Linked DNA regions of Drosophila melanogaster. The protein of the gene in region 1 purifies or fractionates together with the protein of each later gene. This does not show direct contact. Each region holds a gene or a part of one and is shown on either strand. Other genes may lie near its edges. The genes, in order: msd1 and dgt6.

Region 1 (7,050 bases):
GAGATGTGGTGACCTCACCACTGAACCAGGAGCTCGCCATCTATGCCAGGGACGCCTTGGCCAAGGCTGTCTATGATCGTCTGTTCTCCTGGCTGGTTCAGCGCCTCAACATCTCGCTGCAGGCGAAGGAAACGCGGGCATCCAGAAATAATGTGATGGGCATTCTGGACATCTATGGCTTCGAGATCTTCCAGAAGAACAGCTTTGAGCAGTTCTGCATCAATTTCTGCAACGAGAAGCTGCAGCAGCTGTTCATCGAGCTTACCCTTAAGTCGGAGCAGGATGAATACCGCCGGGAGGGCATCGAGTGGATACCTGTGGAGTACTTCGACAACAAGGTGATTTGCAATCTGATCGAGGAGAAGCACAAGGGCATCATCTCCATACTGGACGAGGAGTGCTTGCGACCAGGAGAGCCCACGGATAAGACCTTCCTTGAGAAGCTCACCCAGAAATTGGCCCAGCACCACCACTACGTTTGCCACGAAAAGGCGCCCGCCCACATCAAGAAAATCATGCTGCGCGATGAGTTCCGCTTGGTGCACTATGCCGGCGAGGTCACCTACAGTGTCAATGGATTCCTGGACAAGAACAACGACCTGTTGTTCAGGGATCTAAAGGAGACCCTCAGCAAGGCTGGCAACGGCATTGTGAGGAACTGCTTCCCGGAGAAGGAGCTGCGCAGCCTGAAGCGTCCGGAGACGGCTATCACCCAGTTCCGGGCATCTCTTAACAACCTCATGGACATTCTGATGTGCAAGGAGCCGAGCTACATTCGCTGCATCAAGCCAAACGACCTGCAGACTGCCAACGTCTTCAACGATGAGTTGGTACTGCACCAGGTCAAGTACCTTGGCCTGATGGAGAATCTGCGTGTGAGGCGAGCTGGTTTCGCCTACCGACGAACGTATGAGCTCTTCCTGGAGCGCTACAAGTCCCTGAGCAAGTCCACCTGGCCCAATTACAAGGGTCCCGGTGGCCCGAAAGCGGGTGTCCAGCAGCTGGTGAAAGATTTGGGCTGGGACGAGGAAAAGTACAGGGTGGGCGAGACGAAACTATTCATCCGCTGGCCGAGAACCTTGTTCGATACGGAGGATGCCTACCAGGAGAAGAAACATGAGATAGCGGCCATCATCCAGGCCCACTGGAAGGGATTGATGCAAAGGAGGAAGTATCTGAAACTGCGTGCTCAGGTGATCATAATGCAGAGCTATTGTCGCCGAAAGTTGGCACAGCAGGCGGCCAAGAAGCGCAGGGAGGCCGCCGATAAGATTCGTGCCTTTATCAAGGGCTTCATCACCCGGAACGATGCCCCGAATGGCTTCAATGAAGAGTTTATTGCCAACGCCAAGCGTATGTGGCTGCTTCGACTGGCGAAGGAGCTGCCCACCAAGGTACTGGATAAGAGCTGGCCCCATGCCCCTGGGCACTGCGAGGAGGCCTCCGGCATCCTTCACCGCCTGCACCGTCTCCACTTGGCCAGGATCTACCGCCTTAAACTGACGCCGCAGCAGAAGAGGCAATTCGAGCTGAAGGTCCTGGCGGAGAAGGTCTTTAAGGGCAAGAAGAACAACTACGCGAGCAGTGTGTCCACTTGGTTCCAGGAGGACCGCATCCCCAAGGAGCACATCCAGCGAGTCAACGACTTCGTGGCCAGCACCTTCGGCAGCGAGCAGCTTAAGTACCAGTCCTTCTGCACCAAGTTCGATCGGCACGGCTACAAGTCCCGCGACCGCTTTATCCTGCTGAGCAACAAGGCTATATATGTCCTCGACGGCAAGACCTACAAGCAGAAGCACCGCCTGCCGCTAGACAAGATCGACTTCACGCTGACGAACCACAACGACGACCTGATGGTCATCCGCATACCGCTCGACCTGAAAAAGGACAAGGGCGACTTGATTCTGATCATTCCGCGCATAATCGAGTTCAGCACGTATATCATTGACACCGTGGGAACTGCCTCCATCGTCTCCATTGTGGACAGAAATTCGTAAGTTGCACATCGGTTATCCCAGTGGTTTTCTCTTGACTAAGTGTTGCATTCGTTTCCAGGTTGGAGCACAACGTAGTCAAGGGCAAGGGCGGCGTCATCGACATCCAAACCGGCGCCGAGCCCGGAGTGGTTCGTGATAAGGGCCATCTAGTTATCGTAAGTAGTGCGAGCTCCAGCTCCTCATGAGGAAACGCCCATTATCGTGCTGACCTCACACACCAAATATTTCTTTTCAGATTGGAACGCAATAAGGAATTTACTATGACTTTCTTCAGAAAAGTGGCTTTAAATCAAACGACCTTGTTTTGTTATATTCGTGTAATTTATAGTGTAACTATGTATTTTTGTTACTGCAGCACCTGAGAGTTGTGTATTCGGATTTTATATGACTAATGTTCCAACTAAATGTATATTGTTTAAAAATACATATAAATATATTACAATTTGTATATGAATTGGGTTCTTATCACTAACTTGTGGTTTTTCAAAGAGGAAACGTGGCAATTTTTCTAGTCTCTTATATCGTTTCTTTCAAAAAGAACCGCCCACTCGATTGGCAAAAGCAGCAGTCGATAACTTTGCTTTGAAACGTCAGTTCGGTGCTCCAGACTTTAAAAATCTCGTTAAAGTCGTGCCCAACTCACAAAAGAAGATTTCAGCTAACGTTACTACTGAAATTCATGTGAATTAATATACCACTAACAATTATTTAACTGTAAATTATAGTTGGGAAAGTTACTTACTCATTATTCAAGTATTAAGTATTTTTAGTATTTATTTGCGTAAGTTGAGAAACAGCTTAGTACATTGCGCATACGGTCACACTGCTACCTTGCTGTCTTTTTCTTGCTCCAGCACTTTTACATAATCTTGAAAACTCAGCGTAAATATCGCCCAAAATACGAGACCTGCACTCGTGCACCGTCTGCAGAGATGCGATACTAACCCGCTGCGTTTCCGTTGCAGGAGAACCGAGATGTCGTTCACACAGATCGCGCGCAGCTGCAGTCGACTGGCGGCCACTTTGGCCCCAAGGAGGGTCGCCTCCGGCATTCTCATCCAATCACAGGCCTCCAGGATGATGCACAGGATCGCCGTGCCATCGATGACCAGCCAGTTGAGCCAAGTAAGCGAACGTCCAAAGCGGTCCCTTCCGTTGCAGGAGCCCCAATCGCAGTTGAGGACCTAACCTCATCGCAAACGGCGGGGTTTCGTGATCTACGAGTTTCAAAACATTCAATTAAGTGCTTGCAATCATGAACGCAACAGAAGATCCTCGCCATGTGGCCGTCGAACCACCCAATTCGATTGCATCACATTATTTTGCATAAAACATGATTGTTTCCCTATCGCACACACACACACATACACCTGCAACACCGGTGCTCGCACTTGTGTGCGGTTGATTGTACTACAGTGAAAATCCTCTAGAAGTGACCTTAAAATGTAGCGGTTTTAAAACATGTGATTTCAGTTTGTTAAATATCTAAATATGTTTCCACGCCAATCCAAGCAATAGTTTTCGCGGTATTTAATCAGTTGATCATACACCATCGAACCACCCTCGTTTAAATTGCGTATATATTTACACTGCTCATTGAAGAATTAGCTAAGTTGTATGCACCATAAGTCGTAGATGAACTACCAATGCAATTATTCATATAGAGACGAAAATTCACTAGACATTAACATTCGCAGAAGTTCGGTGTGCGCAGCTACTCGGCCAAGAGCACCATCGAGGACATCAAGTTCCGCGTGCTAAAGGTTGTCTCCGCCTACGACAAAGTGACCGCCGAAAAGGTAAAGTACCCATTGCATGGCGCCACTAATCCGGTCTTTGTTTCCTTCCTTTTTTTCTCGGGCCGGCCAAAAACCAGGAGTGCCGTGGTCGCTGGCAAACGCAATTGGTGCGCAGATACTCGGCGAAACCGCCGCTCTCGCTGAAGCTGATCAATGAGCGCGTCTTGCTTGTGCTCAAGCTCTACGACAAGATCGATCCCAGCAAGGTAAACGCCACATATTGCCTTTGCCAGTGCAATGGTCGCCTCAGAAATCAGAACTGAACAAAGCTGATGAAACCTTTGAATACCCAATGCTAATGGCTCGCATTTACAGCTCAACGTTGAGTCGCACTTCATCAACGACTTGGGACTGGATTCCTTGGACCACGTGGAGGTCATCATGGCCATGGAGGACGAGTTCGGTTTCGAGATCCCCGACTCTGATGCCGAGAAGCTGCTTAAACCTGCCGACATTATTAAGTACGTCGCCGACAAGGAGGATGTGTACGAGTAAATTGTAATTGTAATGCAAGCCATTGAACGGATTACACTTAAATTTAAATAGAAAACAAGTCAAATACAATTTGATCAACTGAATAAACCAAACGTTAAATTAACTTGTAGTCAGCAATTGTACACGAGGGCTATAATTAACTGCGGAATAGCAGCTAATAAATTAACTATCCAAATAAATAAACGAGTCATTTAGTACTGGCGGTTAAATTTAAATTTCGATAGAAACGTTGGTCTTTCGATTGTTTTAGAAAGCCTTGTGTATTTTAGATACGCAGCGACGGTCACGTTAATCTGCTAGCATTACAAACAGAATATTCGAAATGTCAGACGCTGTGGACAAAATGTTGGCGGGAATGGGTAAATATATCTTTAAACCACCGACACGCGTTCTATTCCGTGCTTCCAATTTCAGCGGCCAATCGGCAGACCATGAACCGCCAGCTGGCTAAGATAGACGAGATAATGGAGCGGTCGAACAACACATTGCTCCACATCGAGTCCAACAGCAAGGCATTCAGTCAGAATGTGGCTTTGTCGGAGACCCAGAAGATGTACAACCTCAGGCCGGAGGCTGAGATGACCCTGTCCAAGATCCTGGAGAACTTCAAGCTGCTCATGTCTAGCAGTGACCAGCGGGAGGAGACATACAGCGCTCTGGAGGGCTGCCTGGCCTACAGGCATCGCGTGGAGCACCTTGGCAGCTCCGTGCGTAAGCTGGTGGCGCTCTACGACACCGTGGGCCAGATGAAGAACTCACAGGAAGAGCAGTATGCCAGCGAGGATTCCCCCTAGCTCATCCATTTTTAGAATTTATTATTATGTTATAGTTGAAAAATAATTTAAATAAATTAAACATTTGATTTGTATTTAAAGCTCTTTAAGCGAGGTTTTCAAATCATGGCCATATTGTAGCTGCTGACTTGGAGAAGCGTATAGGTAAGCACCTCTACGAACATCTCCAGGCGAGCGGCAAGACTCCCGGTGGCGAGTATCTCATTGGGATTGGGCAGCTGGAGGCTGTTGGAGCGCAGGTAGTTGAGCTGTTCCATATTGGCGGCTATGGTCAGAAGCTTCTCCTGCTGCTCGGATGTAAAAGCATCTGGCGGAGACTCACCGCCGGTTGGCATGAGCTTTTCCAGCTGCTGCGCAAATCCATGGAGCTGCGTCAGCTTCTGCTTGTATATGGATTCTGTGGTGTCCAGAGCGGCTGCCTCGTCGTAGATCTTGGCCAGCTTTCGCTGGAAACCCTTAAAATCATTGTACACGTCCACGGCACTGCGCTGCTCCTCCAGACGCGTCAGACTCAGCGAAACGTTGGATGTGTTGATGCCCATGGCCACCGACTCGTCTGCTCCTCGCAGGAGCGTTGAGTTGGTACGTTGTAGCTCCCGCTTCTTGGGCATTTTCTGCAGGTTGGCCGGGTACTCTTCCAAGGTCTTGAAGAGCTCCGCATAGTCGGCTACCGAGCTAAGATCCCTCGGGGGCGTAGTGGCTGCTGCCTCCTCCTCCATCATCTGCTGCAGGCTGTCAAAGAAGGCCCCCGGTTTCATCACCGTCTTGGATACGCACACGTCCTTTAGGTTTCTCACATGTTGCGCGTACTTTCTGTACAACTTGGATGAAATGCTGCTGAAATCTACATTAGTTTCCATTTTTATTGTTTACGCTTCACTTCTCCTTTGATAACTTCGTTTGAATGGCCTGCGCCGCATCTATCGGAAATCGATAACGCAAGCTGTGGCGGTTTAAATTTGAAAACAAAAGTTCTATACAAATTATGATCGCTTACGGATTACTTGGGTTTTTATTTTTAAAAGCACAATTTTTAGAGTGCACTACACGTATTTCAAGTCTTCAGTGGTTTTAACGAGATCTTAATAGGGAGTTTATACCATATGAAAGTTTGGACTAACATGGCTGTTTGAATTCTGAGTCTCAGAACTACAAGGTGCATCTCATCCATACTCGGACTGAACGGTGAGCGAAAACTGACCCTTGGGAATTGAATTGGCATGGTACCAGATGCGTGTGTCCACCAACACAGCATCTCCGGGCTCCACATAGAAGGAGAAGGGCTGACACTGGTGGTCACATTCAGGAGCAGGTGCCAGAAACCAGGTCTTGTTGCCACTTAACTGAGCTTGCCACAACAGGCGGGGAATGTAATCAAGCTATAATAATTGAAAGATTAGTCATAATATTCGTTGATTTCTTGGTTTTTACTTACATGCATCACAGCCCCTTGCTCGTAGCCCATTAATATGAAGTCCGTGTGAGGCATTTCAGCATCGAAGGGCAGGAAATGCGGGCGGGGATACAGCTTTCTGAGCTCCGCCAGGACGGCCGGCTGGCAGACACTCCAGCCCACGAACCAGGGCACTCCTTGAGTAAGATTTGAACGCTCCGCGGACATGGAAAACACATGCTTCAGCGACTTGAGATCAGAGTTGAAGTGCAGAAACTGGCAATCTGAGTCCATTGCTCCCGGGACACTTTCGTACAATTCTTTTATGAAGGCAAAGCTGAGGTTCTTTTGTGCTGGCCAGTGAGCCACCGCCCTCTTCACAATGATGGGCATTGAGGAGTACGCGTGCGGTGCAAACTCCTCCATGGTGAGATTGGCCAAGATCAGGGGAGCCCTCACCCCTTTACAAAACTCGCAGTCACTAATGGGCCTGGTGGCCTCCCATACCAAGTAGTTGTTGGGCAGAAAGCAACGCACTCCGAGCAGGAACGAGATGGTCTCATAAAAGACCG
Region 2 (9,089 bases), on another chromosome or scaffold:
CAAGCAGCCAGAAGGAAGAGGGCGTTCCAAGACCTTTTTTTATAAATATATTTTAGAACCTATTGCCCCATGGCTTTCCTCTGATTGCCCAGGAACGCGACCGAAAGAAACAATAACCATCAACTGATATCAAACGCACATTACGATATATATGTACAAACTCAAACTGAAGGGTAAGAAAGCACACTTCGTTTGCCTTTGGAAGCAGAGAAGGAGGATATACGTGCCGAGTGGGGAGATACGGGGAAATAATTTTAGAGTGTAATTTGGGATAGATTGCTTATGTGACTAGAAGTCGTGGCTGCCACACTTGTGTTGTCGGTTGGGAAATTGGTTATTGCTTAGAAAATTTGGTTAGTTACCGGCCGCTTCAATGGCCGGCATTTGTTAATGGTAAATCGGTAACCGATCGCAGTTTGTTAGCTGATACCCATATGGAGTTACTCATGCCGCAGCTTACCTCATCGAAGAACACTTGGGTTTTGCGCAAAATATGCTTCAGCTCGGTCAGCTCCAGAAAGTTGCGCTTCAGGGCCTCGGCGTTCTGATTCACCTCCCTCAGCTCGTTCTCCAGCTTCTCAAAGGTGGCCTGAGCAGCAGACAAGAAAGCCATATAAGTTCAACAGTGTTTAGCAGAAAACAGGGAGTATGGCGGCGTATACCTCCAGGTCGATCATCTCGCGGGGCTGCGGGGCCTCGGGACTCTCCCCGGTGTCCAACATGGGGATGCCGTCCTTCTTGATCTCCTTCTCCAGGTAACGCAGCTTGCGCTCCATCTCATCGCAGCGGCGCACCTCGTTGACGAACTTCCTCTGGAAAGCGTTGACATCGGGATTGAGCTGCGGATTTCAAAAGATTGGTTTGTTATTGGGGGATCTCAAAGATACTTCATTTGTGCGATCAAGATATAGCACTTATGCCACTATATTTTTCAATTTTATTTAAATGAGGTAACACACGTAGTTATACTATACACTTAGTAGCTGGTGTCACCAGCTTTGCATTTACTTTGCATTCGCGTTAAAGGGGACGTTTCATGGAATACCGAATTCGCTAATGAGGTAAGGGGTATGATTGTGGTTTATGGTTAGTCAGTGCGGCTGCCTCGACCGCAGCTTTATGTAACCCATCCTACTCACATCTCGGAACTGGACCAATCCCAGTTCTCCCAACTCGGAGACGCAGGCGTAGGCCGCCTCGCTCTGCAGGAACAGCTGGCACAGCGCCATTTCCTCGCTGCGGAATAGGGAACCCATTGTGGCAGCCGGATTCCCGATATCTGCGAATGGAGAACAGACACTAAATCAGAATGCATATGTACATATATAGTACACAATGGGCCCATTCAATTGCATGATTCATGGCCAAACTGGGTTTCTTCCTAAGTTTTGCGGCCGTGTCGCATACATATTTTCATGCTGATTTGGTTATCGTTTCGGTGGGCGGACGTTCGCTTGTCCCCCAGATTATTTGTCTGTAATCTATACTATATATGCGCCGAGATTCGATTTCTATACCCCATGCGTATATTGATTTTTCTCCGCCGCGGACAAAAAGAAAGTGCTACGTTGGACCCGGATGCCAAGGTTTTCGGCTCGTTGGGGGTCAGCCAGTGACTGGGCTCGAGCTTTATCCGAAAACTATTTAGTTTGTCAGGGGGTCACTTCGAAATGAACGTCGATTAGTTAATTACCAAGTGCTTAAAAATTAAATATAAATTCGTCCACAAACTCCAGCAACCGACAAATTTCCGAACTATGAATCTAGTGTGACCGTGGCAGGTCATTGGATTTATACCAATCGAGTAACTAGGGAAATAAATTTGTACTTAAAAACAAATATCTGGGAAATATTATAAAAAACATTTAAAAAACACAAATGCTATTCGCAGTTACTATTCCTAGGGAAAATAAATAGATTTATCCCTTTTATATAACATTTTTCGTCAATATAAACAGGCAGTGGGAACGTCTTCATTCAGTTGAATTCAACCACTTGGTAACACTGGGCAGCAACAAAAACAAAGAACTTCAAACTAAACCGCCATATTTTACTTAATTTCTGTGCTAAAATATGGATCGGACCATAATTGCACCGTGGAAGGCCGAAGAGAAGGAGCAGAGCGAGAAGCTCCACAGGAAGCTGCAGGGACTGGCCCTGGTGCACCCCCTGCCGGACGAGCTGCGTAAGCTGATTGCCTGGGACATGTTCCTCAAGCCCAACCAGGTGGCCTTCGTGCATGTGATGCACTACCTCTTCCGTCTGCTGGATCCCGCGGAGTTCAAACGCCGCTTCTTCTGGCCCATCACCGACAAGAAGTCGGAGGCGAACTTTCGCTCCAGCACGGTGGAGTATCTGAAGCATCTGAACGAGAAGCACCAGCTGCATTGGGCCAACATCAAGTCGTATCTGGTGGTGATGCCCGGAGGCATGAGGTTCATCAACTTCCTGCTCGAGTTCGTGGGCTTCGTGATCCAGGAGCTCATCAAGCAGCGCGAGAAGTCACTTGGCTTAGAGGCGGGAACACCAAACGTGAGCGCCAAGGTCATGGCCCGCCAAAATGCCGTGATGAAGGAGTACGCTTCTTCGTATGTGGTCAATCTGGAGGAGAATACGGCCCTGTTGCGGGACAAGACCCAGAAGATCAGACGCCTGATGGCCGATCTGTCTGCAGACATGGGAGTGCCCGAGGAGCAACTGGCGGACGATGGCTTTCTGGATGAGTTCGAGGCCACCGCTGCACTCGGCGTGGAGCGGGTCATTACCCAACCCACCGAAAGGAAATTCGACCTGGAGGCATCTCTGTGCGGTCTCAAGGAGGCCATCGATCTTTTCCAGGTGAAGCAAGCCGAGAACAACCAGAGCAAGGAGGCGGTGGAGAAGGCACTTCGGGGCATGCGAGTGCTGTTCGACTGTGATGCAGTCACAGAAGGAGGTGAGACATCTTTGGTTGCATCCTTGCAGGTCTTTAAATTTAAATGGTTTTTCAATTCCTTCGCAGATTTCTACGATCCTTTGGGCGCATCAAAAATGGATGCGCTCTTAAACGGCTTTAATCGGATCAGCGGCACAATTGCCGAGCAACTGGATGCTAATGACCACTACAACGAATCGAATGCGTTTGTCACCACCGATTTGCAGGCTCTTCGAGTGGAACTTTCACAGTCCGAAGTCCAATTGAACAATTTACTCAAGAAACTAAACGAACCGTCCAAAAAGGACAAGGGAAGTGCCAATGCAAGTGGCTCCGCCAGGGTACAGACGCTTCAGCCGGCCACGCCTCGCTTCGAATCGGTTATCAGCTCCAAATTTGTTTCCACGCCTCCCATCAGAATCGACATGGGCGGCGGTGGCGGTCGCAATGCCCCAGTGCGTCTTGCACTGCAAGATGACTTCAATGGCAAACAGTTTGATGCCTTAAGCAACAGCTTACTCGGTAAGGAGTGAACTAAACCGTTCGCTTAGTGACCCTCATCCTTATGAGTTTTCCTTTTCAGCACCTGCGCCGCCTCGATCAGCACGCAAGCTGAAAGCCCTTGATCAATCGACCGGCATTGACCTTAATGGCACTTTAAACCGATCCAAGATCAACGATCCCATGCAAATGCTGCGCACCATTCACAAAAACACCTCCAAGGTCAAGGCAGCTCCGCAGGCGAATCTCTCCTCCCTGGGCAGCAAGTGGAAGCAAATGCAAGCGTCATTCGGTTTCGATGAGGCGCCGGTGCCAGGAGCAGCAGTGATCTCACCTCAGACCTCACCAACGGATCCCAGCGATCCCTTTACACCCTTGAGTGGTAGCGAGTGCACCCGAATTGAGCGCATTCCGCGCACTTCGGAAAACAACACTTCACTGATCGCCAAGAGCGCTGCGGTTATAAAGGTCCTGGAGGTATCACGGAATGTGCTTAATCTTAGCACCTCGCCATCTGGACGCCTAGATGCACTGGTTCCACATACCGAGAGCCACCAGCAAGATGTCGCGCCACGTCTTCAGCTCAACGACAGAACAATCAATGTAAGTGGGATCAACAATAATACGTGCCTACGAAATATACGAATCTCAAGTTCCTTTTTTTTACAGGACTCACTGCAGCTTGATCCCGATTTCAACATTGAAAACGATAAGAATGCATTCAATGTCTCGCATAAATTCGATTTTGATCAGATTGGTGGTGAGGATGACCTGCAGAACATCAGCGATAGCGTGCTCAAGGATATTATCTTTTAGTCCACGGGAATCGCGAATGGCCAATATTGTTTAGGTAATAGATTTTGTATTCTTTTTCTAATTGGTTATGAGGTTTTTAAACGAAATATACTTTTTACTTTAGTTTTTAATATTACCCATATGAAATTAAAACTAAAATCTTTCAGCTTGAAAGCAATTTTCTTCTTTTAAATACATCTATAAGTATACCAGGCTTTTCGAAATTCGAGTTTCAGGACTTAAGATTATTATTGAAATAAACAACCTTTGAGGCAGTATTAAGGTTTATTATATATATACTTTTAAAAGTCATATCTTATAGCTATTGTTCTTCATTGCGGCTTCAGCGATCTGTTACATCCTTGCAAAATCAGACTTTCTGAAATGAGTGGGTTGAGCGTTCTAGATGAATGAACGGCAAAAGTATGAAACAAATTGTATAAAAATAAAAAAAAATGAGTGAATATAATGATGGAGAAATAAAATAAGAACAAAACTGAAAAGTGTGTCTTCAATGAATTCATTTTTATTAAATTCGAAAATTATAATAATTATCGTTAACTTAAACTTCATGAATGTGAGATATGTACTTTTGTGTCTCTGTATACATGTTATTGTATGGTATTACTTTTGGTCTTTATGGTCCGCGCCTATCACATGTCTAGCCGCACAAAAAACTTTACATATGGATACGGATACTGGCGTATTATATACACTAGATTAAAGATTAAGAGTATTGGCAAAGGAGCGTGCATTTAATGCAAACCCAATTGCAGCCGGTTGAGCAATCGCTCACAACCCCGATCGTTTCGTTTTGGGCTATAATAAATATATATATATATGTTTTACTTCAATAAAGTTATAATTTGCACTGCTGTCTCCTACTTTCCGCGGCGCTGACGCGGCGGCAGATTGTTCTTCTTGCCAAGAATCTTCATTAGCTGCTTGGACATGAAGAACGGCTTCTCCGGTGAGCCGTCGTTGCGCTCGCAGTCCTCCAGGAAGCACAGAAACAGTGTGTCCACTGCCGTCGAGTACACACCGAAAAACACGCTCGTTATGAGAAAGGCGGCAATTACCACCACCGTGGTGGGCACTGCTATGTAATTTAGCCGAATAATGCTCGGATTATTGTCCAGGAAGTAGTAGGTGGACGCCCCCGCCCCTGCGGTTAGCAGCAGTTTCGACAAAAAGAACAAAAAGTCCGTGACCTGATCCAGCGTCACCACACGCAGGAAGTTCCTCATAATCAGATTAAACGAGTCCGCGGCACTGGAGCAGAAGTTCTTGCCATGAATGGCGCACATGATGTAGGCATTCCGATTGAGGAACTTCAGGAAGGTCTCCAGCAACCAGAAGAAGCAGCGCATGCAGCAGAGGATGGCTCGTGTCACCGCATTGTCGTACTTCTTCAGCTTCTCGTGGATGTACTCCAGCACCAGACGGATCAGCCGGACGATGGCCAGGATGAGCGAACCAAAGGCCACGGTGCCCAGATGGTAGACAGCAGTTTGAAAGAATGCCCTTGTAAGGGTGAAGTAGGGCACATCCCTCTTTTTGAAGGTCCAGTACCATCGGGCGAAGGTCGAGGCCAGCACCATGTAGCTGAAGGCGGAGATGAAGAAGCTCAGCCAGAGGAAGCCAAAGACGTTGTAGAAGATGGCCCACTTAATCTCGATTGGATTGTTAATCGAGTCAAAGCTGCAGGTGGTGTTCAAGCAAGGGTTTCGGTTCTGGAAAAATGAGGTCAGCCGAACGCTACAATATTGCTGGAACACTTCTGGCTTGCAGGATCCGCCCACTGTGTAGTTGATGGCTGGACCTTCGCAGACGCAGTCCTCGGTGGTCACTTCGCCACTTTTCGTCAGCTGTCGCACCATTCTAAACGAAGGATCGCCAATTGAGCCCAGATACAGGCCCACGCCAATGGCAAACGCTATGGCGGCAATGAAGAGTATCCAGGAGAAGATGGGAAAGAACACGGTGCTGATCACGCTGCTCACCGCCTTGCTGCCCTCCTTGGTTAGGGCGATCGCTATCCGGATGCGCTTTCTTAGCACAATTACCAGCAACAGGATAACCACGAAGCACACGCCTACGAAGATGGACAGGTAGAGCCAGGTGTTCTGGTTTTGCAGGACATTCTTGACCGTGGAGTGTAGATTCAAGCCGTGTACGGGAACCGTAGGCGTATTCTCCCAGTGGATGTACTGCTTTACGGAGAAGTAAATACCCACCAGCAAGCCGATAAGCACGCCGAAGATGGAGAACCAGAGAATCGGAGCCGAGAGCCAGCGCATTAGAGCGATGTAGATCAGTGAGGCTACCAGGGTGCAGAAGCAAGCCACCAAAACGATCGACCAGGAGTTGACAAGATCCTCGACAATCTTTTCTCCCAAAAGCTGGGCGTCGTTTGTGCCATTGTAGAAGTGGGCCACCATGTTACCAACGAGCTTGGCCAGCCTCGTATCGGTCTGCATCATCTTCTCCTTGATGACAGCCTCGTTGAGTCTGCGCTTGCACTGGATGATCGGTTCCTCGTCCACTGGAGTCTGTTTGCCATTCGCCTGTGGAACAACGAGAGCCTGGGCATCCGTCATTTTCTGGTACATGACATCGGCCTGCATTTGAACTTCTGTGGTGGCGTTTCCGGGCAACATATGCAGCTCCCGCCTCGACCTTCCCCCATTTAGCAGAAACGAGGGAATATAATCACACACGCCCTGCGAGAACTCGAAGAGGCATCGTTTGAGGAATGGAGCACTCTTGATGTACCAGCGTGCGCACTGGTTCTGGTTAATGGCATCCTGAATGTCCGATTTGGTGCGAATCTGCGCCTTGTGCTCCTCCGACAAGCAGATGAGGCGACTATGCAGCTCCGCAAAACTTTGTTTGTCCTTCATAGTGTCCCAGACGAACGTCTCTCGGGGACAAGTCTCCACACAAACCTGTTGAAATACGTATTTCATTAAAAGTAAGATCAACTCCTTGCAAATTTGATGTTAATGGTATCTCACCTGTGGAGTGTCACATCCAGTGATGGGTACAAGTGGATCGATGCACTGATTCAAGTCGAAAAAGAATAGGTTTTTCTTGTTCAGCACTCCGGAGTCCATGCCACACTTTCGGTTAAAGGAGTCCGTGGGCACCAGCAGTTTGTTGAGATCGCCGTTCCTGATGGCGTATTGGGCTATGAAGGCCCATCCGCCCAGGAAGAGGACGAATAACAGCAGGCAGGGCACATCCGTGCAGCTGCGATCCCTCTGCCTCGGTCCCGTGAAGTTCCGGTCGTAGCGCAGTGGCTCGCCGTACTTGTTCATCAGCTCCACGCTTTCCGTCATCGCTCTCTACTGAAAGAGTCCAAGAAGAACCGAGTGTTTTATGTATGTATATACATAGAGCCACTATCGATGGGTCGTCGTCTCTAGGTAATGAGATTGTCAGGCGTATATCATGTAATTTATTTCCGTGCATGCGTCATTGTTTTAAAAATGGAAAACCGAATCTGTAGTGGGTGGTCGTGTTGGCGGTGAAGCCAACCACCAGCGGCTCTTTTTGTTCTAGTTTATTTGTTAGTTTGGTTGGGGAAAGTACGATGAGTAAATGAAATTGTCGGCGACAAAGTGCGGTTTGATTATATCAACGACAGGCGGCCAACGATCCCTTTTGGATTGAACCACAATTAAATAATATTTCTTCCTATGTTTATGAATAAGACTGTTTAACCTTTTAATGATCAATGAACCTAGCTCTGTAACAAAGTTTTCTACTGGATAAATGAACTTTAAGAATGGCTTTGGATGGGCTGGTGAATTATCCATAATTATTGCTAATACATTCTCCTACAGCAGACTCATTTAATTAATCATGAAAGCAAATAGAGAGCAGAAATAAATAAAGTATCGCTCATTCGGTTTAAGAGCTCCCCTGATAACGATAGCGATCGCAACTGTACGAACCTCTTGGGGATGCGAAAATCTGCGAAGAGGTAGCAGTAAAGCAGCTCGAGCATGTCGCAAATCGGCAATAATGACGCATTAAAAAGCAAATTAAATTTGTGCGCTCACTTGTTGCTGTTGTTTGATTGTTTATGTGTATCGCTTTATTTTTGTGTGCGGCTTCTGTCCATTTGAGATGAAAAACTGGCTGCCGCCTTTAATAGATGAATTACCAAAAAAACACACAAGTTTTCATAGAAAATGGGAAACCAATTTGGGTTGGCAAGGCATTTGGGGCCACATGTTTCAAGGTCGATTGCCGTAACTCCATTTTGGTGTAGGAATTTCAATGTCTGGGAGTAGAGTTTATCATTCAAGCAGTGCTACGGGCAACACTCTCAGTAGCTAACCTTTTTTTCTTGCAAAGAAACTTGTAGACATGATAAGAAAACGGGTGTTCGTTTTGATATCTAACCCATTTGCATAATTTGTAGTGTAGAAAACTGGTTTAAACCTAAGTTGTCCTTGCATCGAGTGTTTACTGTGTTCACCTTGGACTACGTCACTTGAGATAAAAGAAAGCAGTCGCAGTTCTGATCTTATCTTATAATGGTAGTCTCTTGTTTCCCATATGAACGATTTCCCCTTGTTGTTTTTTGGAACTACAAATGTACAAGGCCCCGTAATTTCGTAATGAAGCAGTATTACTCACCTTTGCTTCGGAGCCGAACGATTCTTCCAGAGATGTAACAAAGGAGCTCCACTCTTCTCGTCGCTTTTCCTTTCTTTCTTAAAGTTCCTTTATTGTCTCATGACACTTTTTTACGAGCGGCTGGGGGCTTTTTGTTTAGCTGGTTTCCTGGGACGGAGTCACTACTCCGGCGAAAGTCACCGGACCACTGAAAGCGGGAAGCCTTTGTCGGAGCTCCGTATCCCGTACG

Evidence for each region.
Region 2: the proteins of msd1 (region 1) and dgt6 purify together in Drosophila melanogaster (affinity purification with western blotting; 5 studies listed by BioGRID, with this or other methods). This does not show direct contact.

Annotation. Positions count from the first base shown.
Region 1 is NT_037436.4:1,327,169-1,334,218, forward strand, and holds msd1 (mitotic spindle density 1), read left to right. Parts: upstream 1-4,575; 5' UTR 4,576-4,613; coding exon 4,614-4,650; intron 4,651-4,705; coding exon 4,706-5,085; 3' UTR 5,086-5,158; downstream 5,159-7,050. Other genes in the region: Myo61F (myosin 61F), read left to right, coding at 1-1,993, 2,056-2,152, 2,233-2,247; ND-ACP (NADH dehydrogenase (ubiquinone) acyl carrier protein), read left to right, coding at 2,973-3,122, 3,695-3,781, 3,874-4,002, 4,112-4,291; msd5 (mitotic spindle density 5), read right to left, coding at 5,184-5,945; CG2211 (uncharacterized protein), read right to left, coding at 6,249-6,464, 6,521-7,050. UniProt on the Drosophila melanogaster protein: As part of the augmin complex, plays a role in centrosome-independent generation of spindle microtubules.
Region 2 is NT_033777.3:29,123,876-29,132,964, reverse strand, and holds dgt6 (dim gamma-tubulin 6), read left to right. Parts: upstream 1-1,992; 5' UTR 1,993-2,073; coding exon 2,074-2,935; intron 2,936-3,001; coding exon 3,002-3,436; intron 3,437-3,497; coding exon 3,498-4,018; intron 4,019-4,084; coding exon 4,085-4,231; 3' UTR 4,232-4,381; downstream 4,382-9,089. Other genes in the region: Vha100-1 (vacuolar H[+] ATPase 100kD subunit 1), read right to left, coding at 461-589, 663-839, 1,140-1,256; Ctl2 (choline transporter-like 2), read right to left, coding at 5,092-7,158, 7,228-7,551.